Diceros bicornis minor: one gene and its partners. The protein of the gene in region 2 interacts with the protein of the main gene of each other region in a pairwise test. Links are inferred from orthologs where the notes say so. Each region holds a gene or a part of one and is shown on either strand. Other genes may lie near its edges.

Evidence for each region.
Region 1: the proteins of MTUS2 (region 2) and RTP5 interact in binary tests that used the Homo sapiens proteins (3 or more experiments, as listed by UniProt). The two-hybrid records come from large-scale screens. The link is inferred for Diceros bicornis minor from reciprocal best matches to the Homo sapiens genes MTUS2 and RTP5.
Region 3: the proteins of MTUS2 (region 2) and TXN2 interact in binary tests that used the Homo sapiens proteins (3 or more experiments, as listed by UniProt). The two-hybrid records come from large-scale screens. The link is inferred for Diceros bicornis minor from reciprocal best matches to the Homo sapiens genes MTUS2 and TXN2.

What each region holds. Positions count from the first base shown.
Region 1 is NC_080776.1:28,593,307-28,601,185, reverse strand, and holds the start of RTP5 (receptor-transporting protein 5), read right to left. Parts: upstream 3,004-7,879; coding exon 2,852-3,003; intron 941-2,851; coding exon 1-940.
Region 2 is NC_080748.1:12,171,048-12,178,102, forward strand, and holds the start of MTUS2 (microtubule-associated tumor suppressor candidate 2), read left to right. Parts: upstream 1-4,034; 5' UTR 4,035-4,256; coding exon 4,257-6,491; intron 6,492-7,055. UniProt on the Homo sapiens protein: Binds microtubules. Together with MAPRE1 may target the microtubule depolymerase KIF2C to the plus-end of microtubules. May regulate the dynamics of microtubules at their growing distal tip.
Region 3 is NC_080764.1:13,125,053-13,132,041, forward strand, and holds the start of TXN2 (thioredoxin, mitochondrial), read left to right. Parts: upstream 1-3,986; 5' UTR 3,987-4,088; intron 4,089-4,782; coding exon 4,783-5,045; intron 5,046-6,890; coding exon 6,891-6,989.

The DNA of each region.
Region 1 (7,879 bases), on a different chromosome or scaffold from region 2:
AGACACTGGCCGTGAGTCATTTCCAGCAGTGATGGGGCCATTGCTGGCAGAGACGGGGCCCTGGCCCTCATCGACGCCAGCAGGGCTGGAAAGGGAGCCTCGGCCTTTGAAGATGAAGCCTTTGATCTCGAAGGGCTTGATGCTGCTGGTGAGGAGGCCTCTGCCCTGGAAGACGGGGGCCCTGATGTCCACTGGGAGGCCTCTGCCCTTGGGTGTAGCTGTGGACCGAGTGGGCAGGTAGATGGAGCCCTTGCCAATGATGAGCGGCCCTCTGCGGTCAGCCGCAGGGAGGGAGCCCTCTCTGGGGAGGACACAGCCCTTGGCATCAGTGACGGTCCCCTTTTCCCTGCCCAGACCCAACAGGGAGAAGGGGATGGTGACAATGTCCTCGTCCTCGCTGAAGAAGTTGCTGCTCTCGGAGGGGTTCCTGATGAAGTCAGACACGGACAGGGGCGTGCAGATGGAGTTGGGGGTGTAGCCCCAGGAGCGCTCGCCCGAGGGGCTGCTGCGGAGCGTCAGTGACTGTTTCTCAGCAGTGACGGCCGAGCTGCTGCCGTACAAGGCATACCTGCCCTTGATGGGGATGGGGCTCTTGACCTCCGGCCCCCAAGCGGGGTCCGGGGGCTTCTGGAAGAAGCAGACCCCCAGGTCGCAGGCCTCGCAGCGCTCACTGAAGCAGATCTCAGGGCACTGGTCAGAGCTGAGGGTCTCCCGGTAGCACTTCTGCAGGATGAACAGGACCAGCTTGTTGAGGAAGAGCCGCACGTTCAGAAGGCTCACCTGGCAGTCCCGCTGGGCGCCCGGCGGGCACAGCCGGCACCGCTGGCCCCAGATGCGCATCTTCACCAGCCCCAGCCGGCTGTCCTCATCCCACCACATATGGAAGAGGATGTGCACGTGGGCCGAGGACCAGCCCCACTGGCAGCGGCCACACTGGAGCCTGCAGAGGAGAGAGAGGCAGTGAGCGGAGGGGAGGGGGCCGCCCTCCTGCTCCCCAGGAGGGCGAGGAGCGAGGCCCAGTGGAGTTCCATAACCCCGAGCCCCCATCTGCAAAGGGACAGATGCTGGCGCACACTGTGTCTGCAACCCATAATCTGAAGAGCTGAAAAGCAAGCACCTTTTCATCAGTTTGGCACAAAACCCACTCGGTGGCAGAGCCTGGCCTGACGCACGTGAGGGGTCACTCTGTGTTCGCTGCTGCAGCCGCTGCTTTTCTGTTCTTTTGTGACTCGGGGCATAATCGCCCTGAGGAAACGTCACGAAGAGGCAAAGGCAGGCCTGTGGATACCAGTCGGGGGGAGTAGCAGGTGGGGTGCTGCGGAGAGGACGTGGGGGCCCTGGAAAGAGGAGCCCTGCCCAAGGGAGAGAAGGTGACGGGGAGATAAATTCGGGGGCTCCCTGCCGCACGAGACTGGGTGATGGGGAGGTCTCGGGGGACAGAGAAGCAGTGAGGGCTGGAGAGTCCCCCTGCTGGGGTGCCGTCACGCTGACTTTGCACGTGGGAGCGAGAGCCGCACGCCTCCCCGCACTGAAGAGGAGCCACGTGCCGGTCCCTGGAGGATGACGGTGTGCGTGTCCCAGGCCCCGCAGGTGAGCGCCCTCTCTCCAAGGCTTGTGATCACTGTGGCACCTGCACACGTGTGTGGGGACCCGCATGCCTGGAGGTTTCATGGAGCGTTTCCCCGGGAAGCTGATCAGCGTCGGGGGAACTTTCCATGACAGTGGGATTGTTCTGTCTGCGCCCAGCCGGGAGCCACAAGTGGCAAGGAGCACCTGGACACAGGGAGTGCCCTGAGGAAGGGAACTTCCAGCTGTATTTACATTTAATCCACAAGCACATGGCAGGCCGCGTATGGCCAGCGGCTGCTGTGTTGGAGGACGTGGGTCTGTAGTACGTGGCCATCCACTGGCTGGCGTTTCTATCGGTGAAAACTGAAAACCAACTGAACAATCTTTCTGGTCCTCATCTCGACCCTGTGGAGTCCTTCAGTTTGGCCGTGGGAACAGTAAGGTGTTTGAAGGTGCTTCTCTGATGCACCGAGGACTGTCACTTCCTATCACCTGAGAAGGCCAGCCTTCCCCCGCACACCCGGCCCCCGGGGTTTCGGACGCTGGGAGCTGTGGCATCCGTGTCAAAGGGCAGCTGCCCACGGGGGCCCCACAGTGACCTGTCTTTGAGGTCCCCTTCCCCAGTCAGGTCCCGGGGACTGGGGACGCCTGGCTGGGTGGCTCCTGCAGGTCAGGCCTGTCCCCGTTGCAATGACGCCAGCTGTCGTCATGATGATGAAGAGTGAGGCTCACGTAGTGACCCGTGGCCACCGGAGCCCCCGAGCTGGGCCCCCACTCGCCCACAGCCCAGGCCGGGGACTGCTACCCCTCCTCTCGGGGCCTGCTCCCTGCATGTGTCTCTCAGCTTCCCGGTCCCTCAGGCCCCTGTGCAGCGCAGGGCAGGCAGTGACCGCGGGCGCCTGCCCATCCCCTGCTCCCATCAGCGCTGCCATGGAAACCAGAAGATGTGGCGGTGGCGGCCGCGTCACCCCCCAACTGCGGCAGGGCCCAGGCTGAGCTCGGTGGCCGGCACCGCAGGCAGGGTCTCAGCTCACCGGGCTGAAAGGGACTGAACAGGCGCTGTCCCTCCAACACCCCCACTTCCTGGGAGGGAGAAGGAGCACCCGCCAACCCACCTGTTGGGGCCAAGCCCAGGCCAGACACTCGCCCGCATCCCACCCCCCCAGGTGCTGGGCCACACCTAGCCTGGCCTCAGGACACGGGGCCAACCGAGGGCCAATGCTTAAGCAGCCTTCAGCCCCCTCCCCTCCTGGGACCCCAAGGAGGACCCCCACAGCCGCACCTCGAGAGCCCCCTCAGCCGGTACTGGAAACCGCTGCTGTCCAGGTGCCCCGAGGCCAGGTTCTCCTCAGGGAGCAGCTCCCAGGTGTCCTGGGGTTTCCTCTTGGTCATCAGTTGGGCTAAGGTGCTGGCCCACACGTCCACCCCGTCCATGCTGGCGCCAGGCTCTGCAGTGCGGTCTGAGGGCTGCACCAGCTCCCGGCTCCAAGGAAGCTCTTGCAACCAGCTCCACTGGCCAATCGCTGCCTTGACAACCATCCAGTCTCCATGACAACCAGGCTTGTCTCGGAGAAATGAGAAGCTGGCCTTTTTTCTTATCCTTCTGAATATTTTTTATTACGCAAGCAATATGTTTTCATTTTAGGAAAAATTAGAAACAAACAGATAAATAAAAAGGAAAAAAATACAATAGAATAAAATCGCCCATAATCATCGCAGTGGTGCTGACATCCACGCGTTTTTCTATGCACGTGTATGTGTAAATGTTCATATTCATTTTTCACAAACCGGAAACCCTCGGAACAACTTGTCCTAGAGCTGCGTTTCTTGCTCCACGGCGTGTCGTGGGCAGTGCGCTATCCTCACCACTTCGAACATCCGGGATCGTCCAGTCTACGGCTGTGCCGTAACCTGCTGGCCCTGCCTCTGTCCTTGAACTGCACGGTGCTAATTCTTTGCCGTTACAAACACGGCCGTGAGGAACTTTACTGAACATGTATCACTGTGAATTTTCCCACGGTTTCCATTTTTTTCCAAACTTTTTATTGGCTAGAAGTGTACAACATTTATGTAAAAATGCCTAAAACATAATGCACAGCTTCTCAAATTATCATGAAGTCTTAGTTCAGCACCTGAAGGAATCCAGCCCCCCAAAGCCCTCCACATGCCCCTCCCTGCGCTCAGCACGCCCTTCCCGCGGAGGCACCACCCGCCCACTGGGGCCCCTTCCAGCCCCACCACCCGAGGTGTGTCCCCACGCACGGTCGTTTCCTTTTATTGCTTGGAGCTTCCTGTAAAAGGAACCCTCTGTTACGCATTCTGTGTCTGTGCGGCTGGCTTCTCTCACCTTCTCGCCTTCTTGTTTGTGAAGCCACTTGTAGCAGCAGTTTGTCGGGGGCGAGAGGAAAAGGTGGACTGAGGAGAGAGCCAGCCAACGTTCCACGGCAGAGGGGGAAGGGCTGCCAGCCCAGGAGGGGAAGACGCCGGGTGAGAGCACGCGGATGAGAGACAAACGGAGAGCGCCTTTGGACGACCACCGCTGAGGACGCGGCCTTGGGACCAGGGCCACGTGGAGGCATGGCCGTCACAGCTCCTAGCAGAGCCCCCGGGCTGCAGGAGGTGCCCAGCACCTCCTCTCCTCTGGGCAGCATGGCCCGGGGACCCCGACCCCGGAGCTCACCAGCAGCATGCCCAGGGAGCGGGTGCTCCCCGTGCTGTTGACAGGCAGCCGAGTGGGACGGGAGCCAGGAGACCGCAGCTCAGCGTTGGCGAGACTAACAGGCTCTGACCACATGAGACTGAGACAGTCTTGGTTCCCGACACATCTGCAGGGAGCTCAGCGCTGACAGCTGCCCAGTGGCCAGCAAGGCCTTGTCCCCCAGTGCCCGTAATGGCTCCAGAGGTGGTGGGAAAGGAAGCTGTCCCCAGGCGATCTCCGACTCTGTCCCAGGAGAGAGCAGGGCCCAGCCGAGGAACACCCCGTCCCCCACAGGGGCCCCTGCAATGTGGGTGCTCTGGGGCCTCCACCCGCCCTGGGCAGAGGGAAGCGCTCAACCCCACTCGTCCACATGGAGGGCCGTGTGCGCTGTCTCCCTCCGCTGAGGGTCCCAGCGCCTGCTGGACAACCATCTCCCGGTTCCAAAGCCACTGCCTCTGCCCCGCCTGGGATCCGGGCTTCTCTGGGCCTTTCCTGCAGCCGCTCACGCACCAAGTGCCCTTTATTCAGCCCCTTGAATCAGCCCGGCCAAGCCGAGCAGCGGTCTGCTCTGGCTGCTCTCTGTCTCTCCTTTCCTGCCGCTGGGCGGGTTGATTCTCTCAGCATTCCACGCTCATCCTTCTACGAGTTTGGATGCTACACTGCTTTGATTCTTTTTTTTTTTTTTAAGATTTTATTTATGTATTTATTTATTTTCCCCCAAAGCCCCAGTAGATAGTTGTATTTCATAGCTGCACATCCTTCTAGTTGCTGTATGTGGGACGTGGCCTCAGCATGGCTGGAGAAGCGGTGCGTCGGTGCGCGCCCAGGATCCGAACCCGGGCTGCCAGCAGCGGAGCGTGCACACCCAACTGCTAAGCCACGGGGCCGGCCCAACGCTGCTTTGATTCTTGTGTTGGTCGCCTTGGAAATTCCAACACGCAAGCTTAGCATGATTATCGTCTAAGGTGAACCACCCCTTCAGGACGGAACAGATGCTCTGCCTGTCACCTGTCTGAGTTCCTGTGGAACTGAATCAAATGAGGCCTGGACCTCCCCCTGCATCCTCCGTGTCTCTGTGACTCTGTATCTCTAGCCTGCATATGAGCAATTTCTTCTCATTTTTCTACCAGTTCACCAGTTCTCTCCTCATCTTTGTCCAGTCTACAGCTAATCCTGTGAAGTGAGTTGTTGTTCTTATCATATTTTTCATTTCTGAAACTTCTTTTTGGCTCTCTTTCAACTATGTGACATCTTTCTGCCTTGCAGTTAAGCATGACAAGGAGATATAAGAGGAAATTTGGGGGCTGTGCTTCTGGGAAGGTTCCATAATGTGGGACTAGATAGCTGGGGAAAGTCCTACTTCTCCCACTCCACTTTAATCTTCTTCTGTTGATCAGTGCAGAGATGATGGCTGGCACTCCTGCAGCCATCTTAGACCATGAGGTAACCTTGCAGATGGAGCCATGTGCTGAGGAAACAGAAAGGCAAGACCCTGGATCCCTGATAACACTAGGAGTCACTGTACTACTTCTGGGTTGTCTGCCTCTGGATTTCTTGTTCAAGGCAGAAATAAACTTTTAGCCGCCACTGTTATCTTAAGGCACTGTTTTCTGGGGGTTTTTTGGTTGCCACCCAGCCAATCATAGCAATTCTAACTGATACCTTAGGGGCTGTGCTGAAGGCCCTGGGTTTTGCTAGTTGGTCTGGGGCCATTGTGTGTATGTGGGCACCCATGTGGTCCTGGTCACGTGGCCAGGCAGAAATCTGAGGGACAGCTGTAGCCCTTTCTCTCTGCATGGCCCCTCCAGGCCCAGTGGCCCTGGCTACTTCCACACCATGCTGGGAGCAGGAACCCGTGCTCTGTGGGGCCATATCACAGCCTTGTCTGCCAGGCACACCCCACAGGCTCCTCTACTCCCAAGACCTCAACCCCCCTCTGAGTTTAAAATTATGGAATTATGACTGACCACCACCACCTGAAAATCATCTTTTAGTGGATAATACTGACCCTTACGATGTGCAAGGAGCTCATCACCTCTGACTCTCCTCATTCGAGGGACTTCCTTAAACCTACCCCAGAGAACGGCTCTCGAGGCCCAGCCAGCAGACCCCAGAGCCATCAGCCTCCACGCACCTGTACACATCTGCCTATTTCCCAATCCCCCAAACCTTCACGCCAGACCCCGCCAAAGCTGCTCACCCGGCCAGCTAACGAATCAGGCGGCTATGAACCCCCTCTTCTCTACCAGAGAAGTGATGGGTGGGGCACTCTGTCAGTTCCTGAGATGTGCAGTGTGGCCCTGAAGTTGTGGGTCCAGCTGTGCGATTGTCCAGCCTGGAGGCGGAGGTGAGAGAATTCCCCCTCAGACCGTTTGGGTGGACACTGGTCCCTCTAAGGACAGCCTCTAAGAACAAGGCTTGGTAGCAACTCCTGCCCCAGCTCTGCCCTCTGCCCTCCGCCCTCCACCCTCTGCTCTATGACCAACCTCCCTGAGGCCTTGGTGACTCTAGAACGGGTTGGGATGGGGATGAAGAAACCAGGACCATCTCTGCATATTGCCCTGCCTGACAGAAGCGCTTACGCTCTCTCTCCCTGTGGACGCGCTCTCTCCTCTTGGCCCCCTTCTCCTAACTCTCCTCCCCGCCCTCGAATTCTGAACTCGACCCTTGGGAGGGCGGCTGGAAGGTGAGGGCAGCCCTCGTCCCGGGGGGGCCCTGGGTAGAGCATTTGAAAGCAGATCTTCTCACAGCCCAGGGGAGCCACAAGGACAGTCCCCTGCTGTTGACGATGCTCAGAGCACCTGTCCCTGTCTTGGCCTGGGCGTGGCCTGGGCCTGTTCCCCCAAGCCCTTCTCTGTGGTGCTGGGCCAGAGAAGTGCAGCTTCGGGACGCGGGGCAGGGCGGGGTGGCGGAGGCGGGGACAGCACATCAGGGAAGCTGGGGGCCTGGCCGGGGGGCGGAGTGCATCGCAGAGTCCAGCGCGAGGCCAGCTGGCTGACGGATGGCTTTGCTCTGCCGACAGGACCCCACCTCGTGTGTCTGGGAAGGAGAGAGGTTGAGAGAGACAGATAGACATGGAGAGAAATTGGGGGAAACGAGGGAGCTCAGCGTGAGGGCTCAGCCCTGCCCTCCCCCAAACCTCAGCAGAGGGTGCGCAGCTCCAGGAAGGCGGGCCGCCTCCTGGGACCCTGGGGCCTGTAGCCCGCTGGTGGGCCCGTCCCTGGCACACAGTCACGTCAAGGTGTGCGTCCCTGGGCGGCAGGCGGGCTGGGGTCCTGCAGTTGGCAGCTGGGGCAGCAGCATCTGGATGGCGGTGGCCCCTGTCCAGCCGGTTCTTTTCCTAAAGGCTCTTCGCACTGTCCCAGGACTTCCTCGCTCCCACATCCAACCCAGCTGCTACCTAGCGCAGGGCTGGTCACCTCCGCCAAGCCCCGTTGGGGCAGGGGCTCGCCCGGGAAGGAGCAGGGAGAGCCTCAGAAACTGACACAACAAAGGGGAGGACAAGGGGGCCAGGGCCAGCGGGCCTTGTCTCCTCAAAGCACAGCCGGCAGGGCGGCCGGGGGGACACTCACTGAATGAAGCAGGCAGGCGTGCACGCCAGAGGGCAGAGGG
Region 2 (7,055 bases):
CCAATAGGCAGCGTTTCTTTTTACAGCTTCCACTTTCTGCCTGGATTTTACCTTCCTGTCTCTGTCCCTGCTCCGCCACTTCTTAGCTGTGTGACCTTGGGAATGTTACCCTCTCTGTGCTTTCACTTCCTTACCTGGAGAGAAAGAAAAAAGGCAAGGGGATGTTAAGATCTATCTCTGGAGGCCATTACAAATATTAAATAACTTAACTTAAAATTTAAGATTAAATAAAATTAATTATAATTTAAACATTAAATTTTGCAGATATGGATTAGTGCTGAGAATAATACTTGGGCCCTCGGAGGTTCTACCTTTCCATCCCCTTACCAATGTAACATTTATTGTTTACTGACAAAGAAAAAGAACATTTATTATGTAATTCTTTAAAAATTAAAATACAATTCTTTCTAGCAAGATACTGATTTTGCACCTGTTTGTCACTTTCTAGCAGTCAGATTGTGGATTGTGGTTTATGATGCTCTGGTTTTGCTGTCACTGCTGAGAATTCATTTCTTTCTTTCTCCCAGCTTCAATAGTTCAAACCAAAGAGGGCTCTTGGTTTCATGCTTTAAATTTTGCCCACAGAGAATCAGAGATGCTCACTTTCTGTGGATGGCCCATGTCTATGGAATTCCTTGCTCTCCCTGACTTTCTGGGATACCTGTTTCCTGACCCAGAGAGCACAGTGTTCTTTTAAACTGTTGTCTTATTGATTTGCCCACATGCTTTTTATATTTGTCCCCAGAGGACATTTGTATCTTCAAGGAAAACACTTTTAAAATGGAGTAAAGAAAGAAATGTGGGCTCATTGAGAATTACTTCTGTGTCAGGGAACCGAGGTTGGGAGCAGAGTGTCAGCACCTTGCTTAGGCTTGAGGGCTGTATCGGGCCAAGGCTGGAGCTGGCGGTGTCCCTGGTTCACTGAAGGCAGGCCTGGAAGAAGACAGAGAAGGAGAAAAAGAATGTGGGAGACACAAGGAAGTGGGAGGATGAAGATAGTGAGTGTGACATGAAGAGAACAGAAGAGCAGTGTGGTGGGAAACAAAAGCACACACTGCTATAGGTGTGTGTATCTGGATAGGAGTATACGGACATGGGGAAAGGAGTGGAGAGACCTGCACCAGGATGTTAGCGTGTCTTGGGCTAAGGGAAGAAGGGGCAAATAAAAAGAAAAAAAACTGACAAAAAGCCAGCTTATAGGAAATGATCTCATTTAAGTAAAAAATACATGCTTATGTAATAGATGCAAAAGAAATGAAAGGAAAAGAGAGCTCTATCAGCTGAGTTTTTAGGGATGTCCATGATAGGCTGTCAAGTGAAAAATTAAGTTAGAAAAGTTGGGAGCTGGGATGGAGAGGAACATGGAGGTAACTGCAATTTATTGGTGATTTCTCAGTCCTTGGTTCTAGGTGTTCATTATGTTATTTTGCTTTATAACATACATTTGTGTGTATATATATATATGTATATGTATTATGTATACATGAATGTATATACATGTATGAATACACAAATATTCTTTTTTTTTTTTTTTTTTTTTTTTTTTTTTTTTTTTTTTTTTTTTTTGGTGAGGAGATCAGCCCTGAGCTAACATCCGCCAATCCTCCTCTTTTTTTGCTGAGGAAGACGGCCCTGGGCTAACATCTGTGCCTATCTTCCTCCACTTTATATGGGACGCCGCCACAGCATGGCTTACCAAGCAGTGCGTCGGTGCGCGCCCGGGATCCGAACCAGCGAACCCCGGGCCGCCGCAGCGGAGCGCGCGCACTTAACCGCTTGCGCCACCGGGCCGGCCCCCTTCTTTTTTTTTTTTAAAGATTTTATTTATTTATTTTTCCCCCAAAGCCCCAGTAGATAGTTGTATGTCGTAGTTGCACATCCTTCCAGCCGCTGCATGTGGGACGCAGCCTCAGCATGGCCGGAGAAGCGGTGCGTCGGCGCTCGCCCGGGATCCGAACCCGGGCCGCCAACAGCGGAGCGCGCGCACTCAACCGCCAAGCCACAGGGACAGCCCACAAATATTCTTTTGAATGTATGAAATAATATATTAAACAATGATGAAGAGAAGACAAGCAGGTTGCCACGTAACTTATTTCAGTGGAAACGTGACAAGAGCCTCCCACGTAATGTGCATCTCAGTACTCGCATATTTTGTATGAATGAGGGGGAAGGTGTGGAAGGCTGTTAACTTTGAATCCCCATTGGGGGAATTGCGGACGGAGCGGAACCTTGTTCCTTTTAAACTCTCCCATCCCTGGTGCCTAATAAAATGTATTCACAGTAGTGGATAAAACAATGTTAGCCTTGAATTGAGAGGTTTAGGGATGATCTGTGAGTCTACTTTCATAGAAATTTAAATACTATGTTAGATTTTAAGCCCTATGAGAGTAAAAATAACATTGTTCTTCATCATTCATTCATTCATTCATTCATGCTACAAATACATATTAAGTGCCTAACACACATGCTAGGTGTTAAACGATATTTTCTTTAGTGTCTAGCACATCTGATTTTTTTTTTTTAAAGTGAAAATATGGGATATGATAAAAGGTCATTATAGAAGGAGGTCGGAAAGGCTAGTAGGTCGGGAAGGCTTCCTGGAGGAAGTGGTACTTATGCTGCAAACTGATGAATACAAAGGGGTTAGTTGAGTAACGTTGAGGGAAGAGTCCGCATTCTATGCAGATGGAAGAGTACGAGCAAAGCCCCCCCGAAGCAGGGAGGAAGGAACATGGTAATATGAAGAATGAGGCCAGTGTGGCTGCAGCCTAGAGAGGAAGAGGGTGAGTAGTGAGGATGAGGCTGGAAAGGTGTGTATGGGCTGGATCATGCAGGCCCTGAAGGCTGGGATAGAATTTTCCTCCAGCTTTTTATTTTGAAAAATTTCAAACTTATAGAACAGTTGTAGGTATAGTAGAATGGATCACCTAGATTTTCAAATTATCATTTGGCACAGTTGCATTTTCTCTCTCTCTCTTTCATATGCATCCCCACCCACCCCCCGACACACATATTTTTCTCTTTGTTGAACCACTGGAGAGTAAGTTACAGACAACATGTCATTAAAAGACATGTCATGTTTAAAAGCATGTATCTTCCAAGAACAAAGATTATCTGATATAATCACAATAGTATTATACACCCAAGAAAGTTAACATTGATAAAATACCTTTACCTAAAATACAATCCATATAGAAACCTGTAATTGTCCCAATAATATCCTTTGCTAATTTTTTGTAAAATCAAAGATCCAGTCAAGGATCACGCATCATTCGTAGATATCTGTTAGCATTTTGGAGGCAAGTTTAGGCCAGTTATTTTAAATTTGTCTGATTATTTCCTCATGATTAAATTCGGGTTGAACATTCATAGCGAGAATACTGCATAGGTGATATAGGTGCTGAGGACTGCCTACATCAGGAGCACGTGGTGTCAGTTTCCACTAGTGACATGGTAAATTTGATCACTTAGTTAAGGTGGTGCCTACCAGCTTTCTCCATTGTAAAGATAAAATTTTTCTTTTGTAAGAAATAAAGTAATCTGGAGGATGGTACCTTATGATTCCATGAATATCCTGTTCCCCAAACAACCTTTCAACCAGTATTTTTCAACCATTGGTGTCCCTTGCCCAAGATAATTATTACTCTGGTGACTACAAAATGATGCTTTTTCTAATTCTATAATTTTTCCTGTATTAGTTGATATTCTGTAAAGAAGAGCCTTCTTTTCTCCTCCACCCTTTTTAATCAGTCTTGGTATGAACTTGTAGGTTTTTAAAATTTAATTTTAAGATTTACTATGTTTTCATAATCTATTTCTAACATGAATCATTTTGATGTTCCAATTTTCCCATATTTGGCCAGCAGGAGCCCCTATCTGAAAGGTTTTTGAGAAATATGTGGATAGAGTGAATTAAATAATATTATGAAAGTGATTGTAATCTGTGTTTACTATGATTTTTTCTCCTGAGAATCTCTGTCGATCTAATCTGATTTATTTTTATTTCTCTCTAGGTCTCATGGACTAATTGGCTCTCATTCAGCAGGAACCTAGCAGATCAGTCATCCTGCTGTATGCCAAGACAATGCTTGGTTTTAAAACTGCTCTGAAAATGATTGTAGCAGTGTCGCAATGTGACATTGTCAGGGGGCAACAGGCAGCTTGAGAATTTCCTATTAATCAAATAGCAGCTTGAAGGAAGCCCCTTTCCATTAAGTAGGACTGCATGGCAAGCAGCCCCCACTGAAGGGTTGAAAATGAGCGTCCCAGTGGCTCCTAAGAAATCATGTTACACTCAGTTGCGGGACAACCGAAATGGAGTGAAAAATAATAACGAGAGTATCCTAAGTCTGGGGGATACCAATGCCAATCAAATCACATTGGAGGTCAGTTCCTCTCATGATGAGTCTGAGACATGTGACCTGAGAGATGAAGTTGGAAATGCAAATACAAGTGAGCCAGGAAATGGCACCCATTTCAATAAGGAATTTCACCAACTTCAGGGCATTGGGAAAGGATCTCACGCCGGCCCCACCAGCCTGAAAGATTTTAAGTTTTCTCCAACCGTTCCTAGAGAACTAAATGAAGAGCACACAATGGAGAGAGGCACACATATCCCGCAGACCCCTCGGAGTATTCAGGGACCAAGCCTGTCAAGTTGGAGGAATGTTATGGGTGAGTCCAGTCCAGAGGTTTTGGCTAAAAGGGATGTTGAAATTCCCCGGCCTGTTCCCAAGGATAAATTGGCAAAGACCCTTGACAATGAGGAATTGAGAAGGCATTCTTTAGAAAGAGCAAGCAGCTCTGCTCTTGCAGTGGACGTGCTCACAAAGGAGCGTGTTGGGAGCCTGACTCGGCAGTTTCTGCAGCCTGCACCGCTGGACTCCCCTGAAGCCCCCTGTCATGTGCCCAGCGGTGGGGAGGGGCCACAGAGGACATTGACAGCCCACTCTCTAGGGGCAGCTTTGCTTCCAGCTGACAATACCTCAGAGGGCAAGAGTTTGCGTCGTCCTAAATCATCTACCTCAGAAACCAAGGAGGCCACCCCCTCAGAGACCCAGATGGAGGGGGCACACGTACCGAAAGTTAGTGACAAGAGCACATCACGTTCTGCCCACCCAGAGCGTGCTCTGAATTCAACTTCAGCATCAAAGGAAGTCCTGAGTAAGCCAGAAGCACAATTAGGTCAGGGAAAGGCAGAGTCCAGGCCGGAGCTGAAATTTGTCCAACCCAGGGCCGTGCAGGAATTAAAGTCAACCCAGGCGGAGGGTCTGGGATGTCCTGAGGAGGATAGTATGTTGTCCCTAGAGAGAAAGGGGCCATGTGGGGAAGCACAGCAAGAAGCCACCGCTGGTACACTGAGCAGTCTGTCACATGGCAGTCTCCACCACGTTGGCGTGGGAAGAGGCAGGAGTGGTGAGCAGGAGAAGAGAGCAGTCAGCCTGGGTGAGGAGGGATTTCTTCAAACAACCCCCCAACAGAGCCCCGATTCCTTGGGAGCTGCTGATAATCAGCCCACTGGCAAAAATTCACCAAGTGCAGCTAGGAAATTGGGTGAAATGGCATCCAGCAGCATCTCACCAGGTGATGGTCATGTAGATTTTATTCCTAAAGATCCAACTGACAGCAGGCCCTTGGATGTGAGTGAGGGGAGAGAGGTGCTGGGCAGTGGGACCAGGGACAGTGCTACGGTTTCCACTTCAGATGCTTTGATTGGAGAGAGCAGAACTGAGGTCCCTGAGCCCCTTGACCCTCAAAGCAGCAGCTCAGAAGCAGGGGAAAGCAAAGAGATCATTACATCTGTTGCCAAAAGTAGGAACCGTCTAGAAAATGCAGTTAAGACTGAAAGTACCCCAGCAAGTACAGATTCTCCTCTCAATGTCCCAGCACCCCTCCACCCAGAGACAACTGTGAATGTGACCCACCAGCCTACACCACCCAGTAGCAGTTTTCAGGACTTCGGTGTGTTGAGTGTAGACACGGGGTCACCCTCGGCTGCCCCACCTCCCACCGACAGTGCGCGGTTGTTGACCCCTTCCCCGAAAGTGCCTGACAAGGACACCTGCCCCACTGGGATCCCCAAGCCTGTCGTCGTACGTTCCGAGGATGTACCTTTCTCACAGGAGGGAAAGGAGAACTACCAGGTTGAAAAAACAGAGGAAAGGACAGAGCCCAAGCCCGTCGTCATGCCCAAACCCAAGCACGTGAGGCCTAAGATCATCACCTACATCAGGAGGAATCCTCAGGCCCTTGGCCAGGTGGACACTTCGCTGGTTCCAGTGGGGCTTCCGTACGCTCCGCCCACATGTACCATGCCTCTTCCCCAAGAGGAGAAGGCGGCGAGTGGTGACCTGAAACCGTCTGCCCACCTCTACGAGAAATTCAAGCCAGACCTGCAGAAGCCCAGGGTCTTCAGTTCTGGACTGATGGTGTCCGGGATCAAGCCTCCAGGACACCATTTCAGCCAAATGAGTGAGAAGTTTTTGCAGGAGGTAAGAGAGTGTCATTGTGGTACGAACTATAGGTTGAACATCCTAAAGTTTGTTGTGTATTTTCGATGATTTATGAAAACAGAATATCCTCTCTTAGCAAATTGCAGATTTTGATGGATACACTTGTACAGAAATGGATGTTTTTAAGTAGAGGAGATCATAGACAAATGAACACTTTTGACTAGAAGAGTTTGGCGGTCATAATGAGATGGATTTAACATCTAAGGAGACTTGTTTAAATACCATATAATACATATGAAGTTAGATGTCTGCATTTAAATTGGCTCCTATGTTTAAATAAGTGAGGCTAATTCTTCTATAAGCCAGGTCAATGGAAAAAAAAATCCAAAATAAATATATTGTTCAAATTGATCAGACTTCACCCCCCAAGGGGGAATGTTTTCCTTACGGGAGATTCTCGCGTTCATGCATGTGAAGAACACAGTGAGTAGAAAATGATGTGTTAGGTGTGGGCTCTTTGTTTTAAGTGAGAATAATAATTACAACTGACGTTCGGTTGAGCGCCTGCTGTGCATTGGGCCCACAGAACATGTGTTTAATCTT
Region 3 (6,989 bases), on a different chromosome or scaffold from region 2:
AGAATCTGAGCCACCAGACCTGACCAGGCAGGAACACATGAGGAGCCTCACCTCAAAAGCAGGAAGGATCCAGAATGTGCCCTGGTACACTGGTGCCCCAGCCTGCACATGCCTACTGAGGGCAGTGGCCTCACACTGGGGTGGGCAAGTGAGGGAGACAGCATATGCCCACCTACATCACAGCCATGACACTCTGGATCTACCATCCCAGGAGGCAGCAGTCACCAGTCTATGAGCTAAGGGCTACATTGAGGTTCCAGTGTCAAGTCTTTATGTTCAGAAAGGGCTGAGGGGACATTGTGTAATTGCTGGAAACACGACAGAACATGAATCACAACAGAACACGAAACCAGCTTCTTGAATTGCAAAACATAAGTCACAGTTCCAACTGTTCTGTAACAGCATTTAAAAAAACAAAAAACAAAAATTACCATCAAGATGGAAACTGAAAACAAAGATACTCTAGGAGCAACGCATCTCAGAGAGGAACTCACTAGCAGCTTACACTGTAGCCCACCACCTCTCTGCCTGTGTATTTTTTAAGGTGCCTTTCTCCAGCCATAAAATCCTAGAACACGCAGTCACTGAGATGCACCTGTCCCACAGCCCTGTCCCCTGTGATCGGCCCTGCAGACCTGAGGAAGCCTGTATCCCAAGGCCATGCTCAGCTTGCCTGGCCTGCCATGGAAGAGGTTGCAAGAACCACACTGCCACCATGTGGGCACCTCTGCTTACAGCCGCTGCTGAGAACCACTGCTGCCCGCCCTGTCACCAGCTGCAATCCCCCGGGGTTTGAGCCCACATTGCCCTCTGATGGCCTAGATTGGCTGGCTGGTAGTCAAATCAGGCCCTTGCTAGGGGCGGGTTAGGACCTTTACGCTTCCACCTCCTACTACCTGGGTGACCCTGGACAAGCTACTTAACCTCTATGTGCCTCAGTTTTCCCATCTATAAGATGGCGGCTATAACAGCACCCACCACATAGGGTTGTAGGATTAAATGAGTTAATACATGTAGGGTAGTCAGAACAGTGTCAGGTATTTGGTAACTCTTCATCATATCAGTAGCTTTTAAACTCTTGACCATGACCCACAGTAAAAAATACATTCTACATCACAATCTAGGACATACAGCCATATAGGCATGACACCAAGAAACGTTTCACCAAATGATACTTATAACATGCGACATACTCTGATATTTTCAATTCTGTTTTTTTAAAAGCTGCTGACCACAACCCACTAAATGGATTTCACAAACCCACTGATGGCTCACATCCCACAGCCTGAAAAACACTGCAATAAATGTCGGTAAGGGGTGGCACTAGAAGCTTTACCCTTAGCTCCTTCCCTTCCCTCACACCTGTGCCCTGAGCCTGCCTGTGACTGAGCCAGACCCAGGCCAGGTCAGCTCTGGCTGGGCAGATGAGCCACCATATAGCTTGTAGCCTATTGTGTGAGCAGCCTTCCCTATCCATCTCACAGGCTCCCTCCCTGCAGAAGGGAAGGAGACTCCTTCATTCCTCAGGCACTGCCAGTGTGCCAGGCCCTGTCCTCCATCCTTCCTCTGAGGAAGGCATCATTCTTCCCACTTGTCAGCTGAGAAGCCTGAGGCCAAGAGAGGTGAAGTGACTACGGAACAAGGACAAACAGCACTGGTCCTCCTTTGGAATTCAGAATGTGAATTAAGCAGGGAAATTGGCCTTCCAGAAAACGCTGTGGAAATGCTGAATAGGATTTAGGGGCAGTATAGCCTCTAGGAGGCTTTGGAAGAGAAAGTGCTGGAGACACAGAAAAACAGAAATGAAAATGGACAGGGTAGGAATGCCCCTGCCAGATGGCATCCGGCATTAGCAGGAATAGCTGCACCAAGGGGTGCTGACCTCAGGAGAGCCAGGGGCACTGAGAGTCCCACGTGGATCACCACTGTTGGCTCCAGTCCTAGGTGGGGACAGAGGCAAAAGTAAGAGATCAGACAGGGCAGAGAAGGCCAGGCCTGCCCATGCCCTCACCTAGTCTCTGCCTGCAATGGACAAGGGACTCTATTAAGTGGAAGGCTGACCTGGCTGCTGGTGGCCAGAGGACGTGGACCTATTCCAAGGATTCCCTCACCTCATCCCAGAAGAAGGTCCTCGCACAGCTATGGCTGTGGCCCTGCCTGCCCAGGGAGTGAGGGAGTGAACCTGCCAACTGGACAAACAACAGCGTGATGTGTCCAAGACCAACTGGAAAAAAAACATGGCAGTGATTTTGGAAGGGAACAATGGGACCATGCACTGTGGTGGGGAAAATGGGATTTGGGGTGAGAAGCTTTGATGTGAGTCCCTGCTCTCTGTTCATGGAACAAATAATCCCTGAGCACCTACTGTCATGCACCAAGGCTTGAGGTAAGCAGTGGAGAGACAGACAGAGCCCCAGGAGCTGACAGTATAGTGAGGAGTGAGGAATAAAGAAACAGGGACAGTACGGAGTCTTGAGTGTGGTGACTGATAGATGCACAGGGGCTGTGGAAGCTCAGAGGAGGGCATCCACTCGGGCTCCAGGAGGCTCAGGGAAGGGTCTCTTCCCTGCGAGGATGCCTAATCTGGTATCTGCTGGCATCTTCTCAGATGGAGAGAGGAGGAAAAGCCTTCCAGTCATAGGGAGTAGCAACTGCCAAATGCAGGGATGGGAGAGACACTTAAGCAAACTCTGGAACTATAAGTGATTCCCCCCTGCTGGGGTGTAGACTGAAACGGACGTGTGAGATGGGACTCTGCCAATCTCCTGCTGATCTCTCTGACTGTAAACCACTCCCTGAGATACCCAAAGACATTCATTTAACAAGCATCCATTGAACATCCTCTGTGAGCCAGGCTCTGTATCAGGTTGGTGCTGGGCACGTGGAGTCAGAGAAAAGTCACAAATCCCCACTCTCAGGAAGCATGGGTCTAGTGGAGGAGACAGACACTGTGCAATGCGTTATGTAAGAGTTAGGAATGAAGCACTAGAAAGAAGGAAGTAATTAATGCGGCTCAAGGAAGAGGTGATGAGTGGGTGTTCTACCAAGGGGAGAAAGAAAAAAGTATTTCAAATTAAGGGAAGGCAAGGAGGAAGGAGAAGGCACTGATGTATTCACAGAACCCCAAGAGGCCAGAGTGGTTGTCATGTAAGGTACAGGGTGCAGGGGAGGCGAGGTGGCTGTGACACCAGCCTGGGATGCACAGGTCCTAGACCCCTGTTGTCCGTGACAGTGACAAAGGGTGTGAAAGGAAGGCCCAGGCCCAGGCAGGCTCACAGGTCACCACACTCAAGGCAGGCCCTCCAGGGTCACCACCCTCTGGCGCCTGGCCCAGTTCCCCAGCAACTCCAAGGAGACAAGCTTGAGGGGCCTGGGTCACGACAAGCCCGGCCCCTGGTGTCACATCCTGGGAAACTGAAGCCCCCAGGGGCACGGTGACGCGCCAGAACTTCGAGGTCACAGAGCTGTGTGTGATAGACGAGGGCCACACGGCGGCTTCCTGACTCCCAGTCAGGGTCTACTATGCCTCGGAGGGGCTTAGCTTCCTCATTCGTAGGATGGAAGGAAAGAACCTTCCAGCACCTCTACGAGTTTTTGGAAGACAATGCGACAGACGGGCGGGCAGTGCAGGTTGACCAATAAGGCGGCAGGAGTTTGCAAAATCCGGAACCACACCTCCCTCCCGCCCTCTTCTCCCTCTCGTACCTCCCCCGTGCTCCCGCCTCCCTCCACCTTCTCTTCCGGACCCTCCCCTGGGGCCCGCCCGCCTCTTCCGGTCCCTCCCCCGAGGGCCGTCCCTACTTCCGGTTCCTCCCCCCGGGGGCCGCCCCCCGTCTTCCGGTCTCTCCCCCGAGAGCCCCTGTCTTCCGGTCCCTAACTGAGGCTCCGCCCCTTTAGCTGGGCCTTCCCCCGCCGTTCTCATTGGCGGAAAATCGGAGCCGCCCCTCAGGTTGCGGAGAGACGTGCTCCAGAGTGCCTGTCCCCGGAAGTGGCCGTGGAACGGCCCTCCTCTGAGGAAGTGACGGCAGCAGTGCCCTTGACAGGCGCGGAGGGCCGGGCCGTGCACCTTCCGCTGGCGCTGCAGGGAGGTAGGAAGCCGTGGGGGCGGCTCTCGGTGCTGTAGCGGCTGAGGCGCGCTGCGGGCGCCTTCCTGCGCGGCGGGCGGCCGAGCGGGCGGAGGCCCGGGGCGAGGGAACCTGCTCTCCGGAGAGCCGGGGTCCCCCGTGGCGTCCGTTCCCCAGTTCCCTCCACACACACGTCCCTCCTTTTTGCGTCCCCCCCACACTCCTGTTCTGTGCCTGTTAGTTCCTCCTTAAATTGTTGCGGTTCCTCCTTCCTGATGCTTTCACAACCCCCTTTTCCTTAATTTCCCATTAAAACACTTCTTAATAGAGTGATCGATAGCGTAAGGACTTTGCAGACGGCCTTTGGTTCCAGTATTGACTCGTTTAACTAGTTGGGTTACTTTGGGCACCAGCTTACCCGAGCCCCGGATTCTTTCTCTGTAATGTGAGCGATACTATGGAAACGTCCTCAAAGTAGATCTGGGAGGACTAGGGTGGATGCAGGGCACTTGGCCCTTGGCAGGTGCTCTGTAAATGTTGGTTCTTTCCTCCCTTTCTTCTTGTAATTCAACCAGTATCCTAATTTCTTTACTATTTCCTGGCATTTTGCTTCCAGCCCTGCATCTTGAGCCCCCCAGTTCTCCCAAATACCTTTCTTTTTCTGGTGTGTTGACTGCATGTTGTCTGCCCCAGCTCTTCCTGCCTTTTCCCCTCACAGATGGCTCAGCGACTTCTCCTGAGAAGGTTCCTGGCCTCCATCATCTCCAGGAAGCCCACTCAGGGTCGGTGGGCACCACTCACCCCCTGGGCCCTGCAGACCCCACAGTGCAGTCCTGGTAACCAGACAGTGACACCCAGCCAAGCCCGGTCAATATACACCACCAGAGTCTGTACGACCACCTTTAACATCCAGGACGGACCTGACTTTCAAGACCGAGTTGTCAACAGTGAGACACCAGTGGTTGTGGATTTCCATGCACAGTGAGTCCTGGGGTCAGCAGAAGACTGGGGTGTCGCTTGTTCAGGTATTGATTGAGTGCCTGCTCTGTCTCAGTACCACGTTTGATGCTTCTCGTGCACAGACTCATTGCAAAGACTCGTAAGACCCAATCCCTGCTCTCAGAGATTGAGTGCAGTCTGGTAGGAGACAAACTGATAAACAGGCCTCAAAGCTCGCTGTGATTAGTGCTGAGAAACTCTTGACGCTCTGTGTCTCTGCCTGAATGGGTCAGTCACCTTCAGCCTGGACAAAAGTGGGAAAAATATGACTATCACATTCTCTGGTTGTTGGTGTGTACCAGTTCCTGGCCCTGCAGATAAGTTGATTTTATTTCAGCATCTTGCCACCAAAACCGGGAAAGGCTGGCAAAAAGTTACCAGTGCCACCACAGTGGTGCCCGAGCATGCAGGGACGGGCAGGCGTTTCTTTTCAGTGCTGTATGAGTTTGTGTTAGGGATATTTAAAGGGCTGTAGCCTTCTGATTGTTAGCCTGGTCTTCATTTCCAGACCCTTGTGGCCTGGCTACAAAAAACTGGACAAACCCCTTAAAATTAGACATTCTAGAAGGAGCCAATGTAGCCTGAGTTAGAAGTTGGGAGGCCTTCTGAACAAATCTCTGACAGGCTCTTTTGCTTTCTACCCCATTCTTCCTCTGACTCACCATGTCGCCTTGGGCAGGCCATTTGATGTCCTTGTCCCTCCCTTTCTTTCCTTGTAGTAGGAGATGAGGGCTTGCAGACTGGGCTGTTAGGTGTTGTGAGTTCGTGCATTGAAATCTCTGAATGGAAAGGGTTTTAATGGCTGAGGATAAAATAGGCGTCATCGACCAGGGGTTCATGGGATCAGAGCTGTTCTGCCCTCCTGGTATGGTGAGCACTCCAGAGAGCACTTCCAAAAGGAATGATAAATGGAGTGATGCCTCATTTTCTTCTCCAACAAGGAAGCAAGGTGCGAGTTTGTTCATTTAGTGCCAGGCACTGCCCTTAGTGCCACACACCTAGAGATGACAGCCTATTCTCAAAGAGCTCCCCACCCGGAGGGGACACCTCCCTGGTAGCAGTTGACACAGGGGCTGACACCGAATTGTCTGGGGCTGAAAGAGGACACTTGGAACACGACCTGGGTTGCAACCCCAGCTGTGCTTCTTACTAGCTCTGTGACCTTACACAAGTTTCCTAACTTGTATGGGACTCAGTTTCTTAGGAAGATGTTTTCTTTCCCTTTGCAGGGTTGAGGGTTCTGTGCAGTAGAAGCTGAGAAGGTTCCTGGCGCAGTGACTGGCGTGTCGTAGACACTCACTAGCCATTGGTTTCCCCTCCCTTTAGTTCCCAGTCCATGAGGTGTCGGAAGTCCCTACAGCTCACAGACCATGTTTATCCACGTTGCCTTAGTTGCTTTCTCATCACAGCTTTGAGAGGCAGAGTCTCTCTTTTGCAACTGAGGAAACTGAGGCCCCAGAACAATCAGCTGGTTGGTGAAGAGCCTTTCTTTGAACCCAAACCTTTTAACTTCAAGTCCCATATTCTTCTATATGACCATATTTTTTTTAGATATATTGAAATAAATGAAATAACCTTTATAAGAGTGTTATGATGAGGCCTGTGCTTTAATAGTCCGGGACCTGTGCAGATTCCTCTGTTGCAGAGTCTCCTGGCGTTACCCTTTGGCATGTCAGCATTACAGGTTAATAGTCAAACACTGTAAACAGAGGTAATAAGGGCAAAAGGTCCCTCAGGAAGATGTGCGTCAAGGGAAGGTTCTGGGGAGACCACAGATGGATTGTCAAGTGCTCTTGTGACAGGATGCTTCCTTTCTCCCCTCCCGAGGTGGTGTGGTCCCTGCAAGATCCTGGGGCCGAGGTTAGAGAAGGTGGTGGCCAAGCAGCATGGAAAGGTGGTGATGGCCAAGGTGGATATTGACGACCA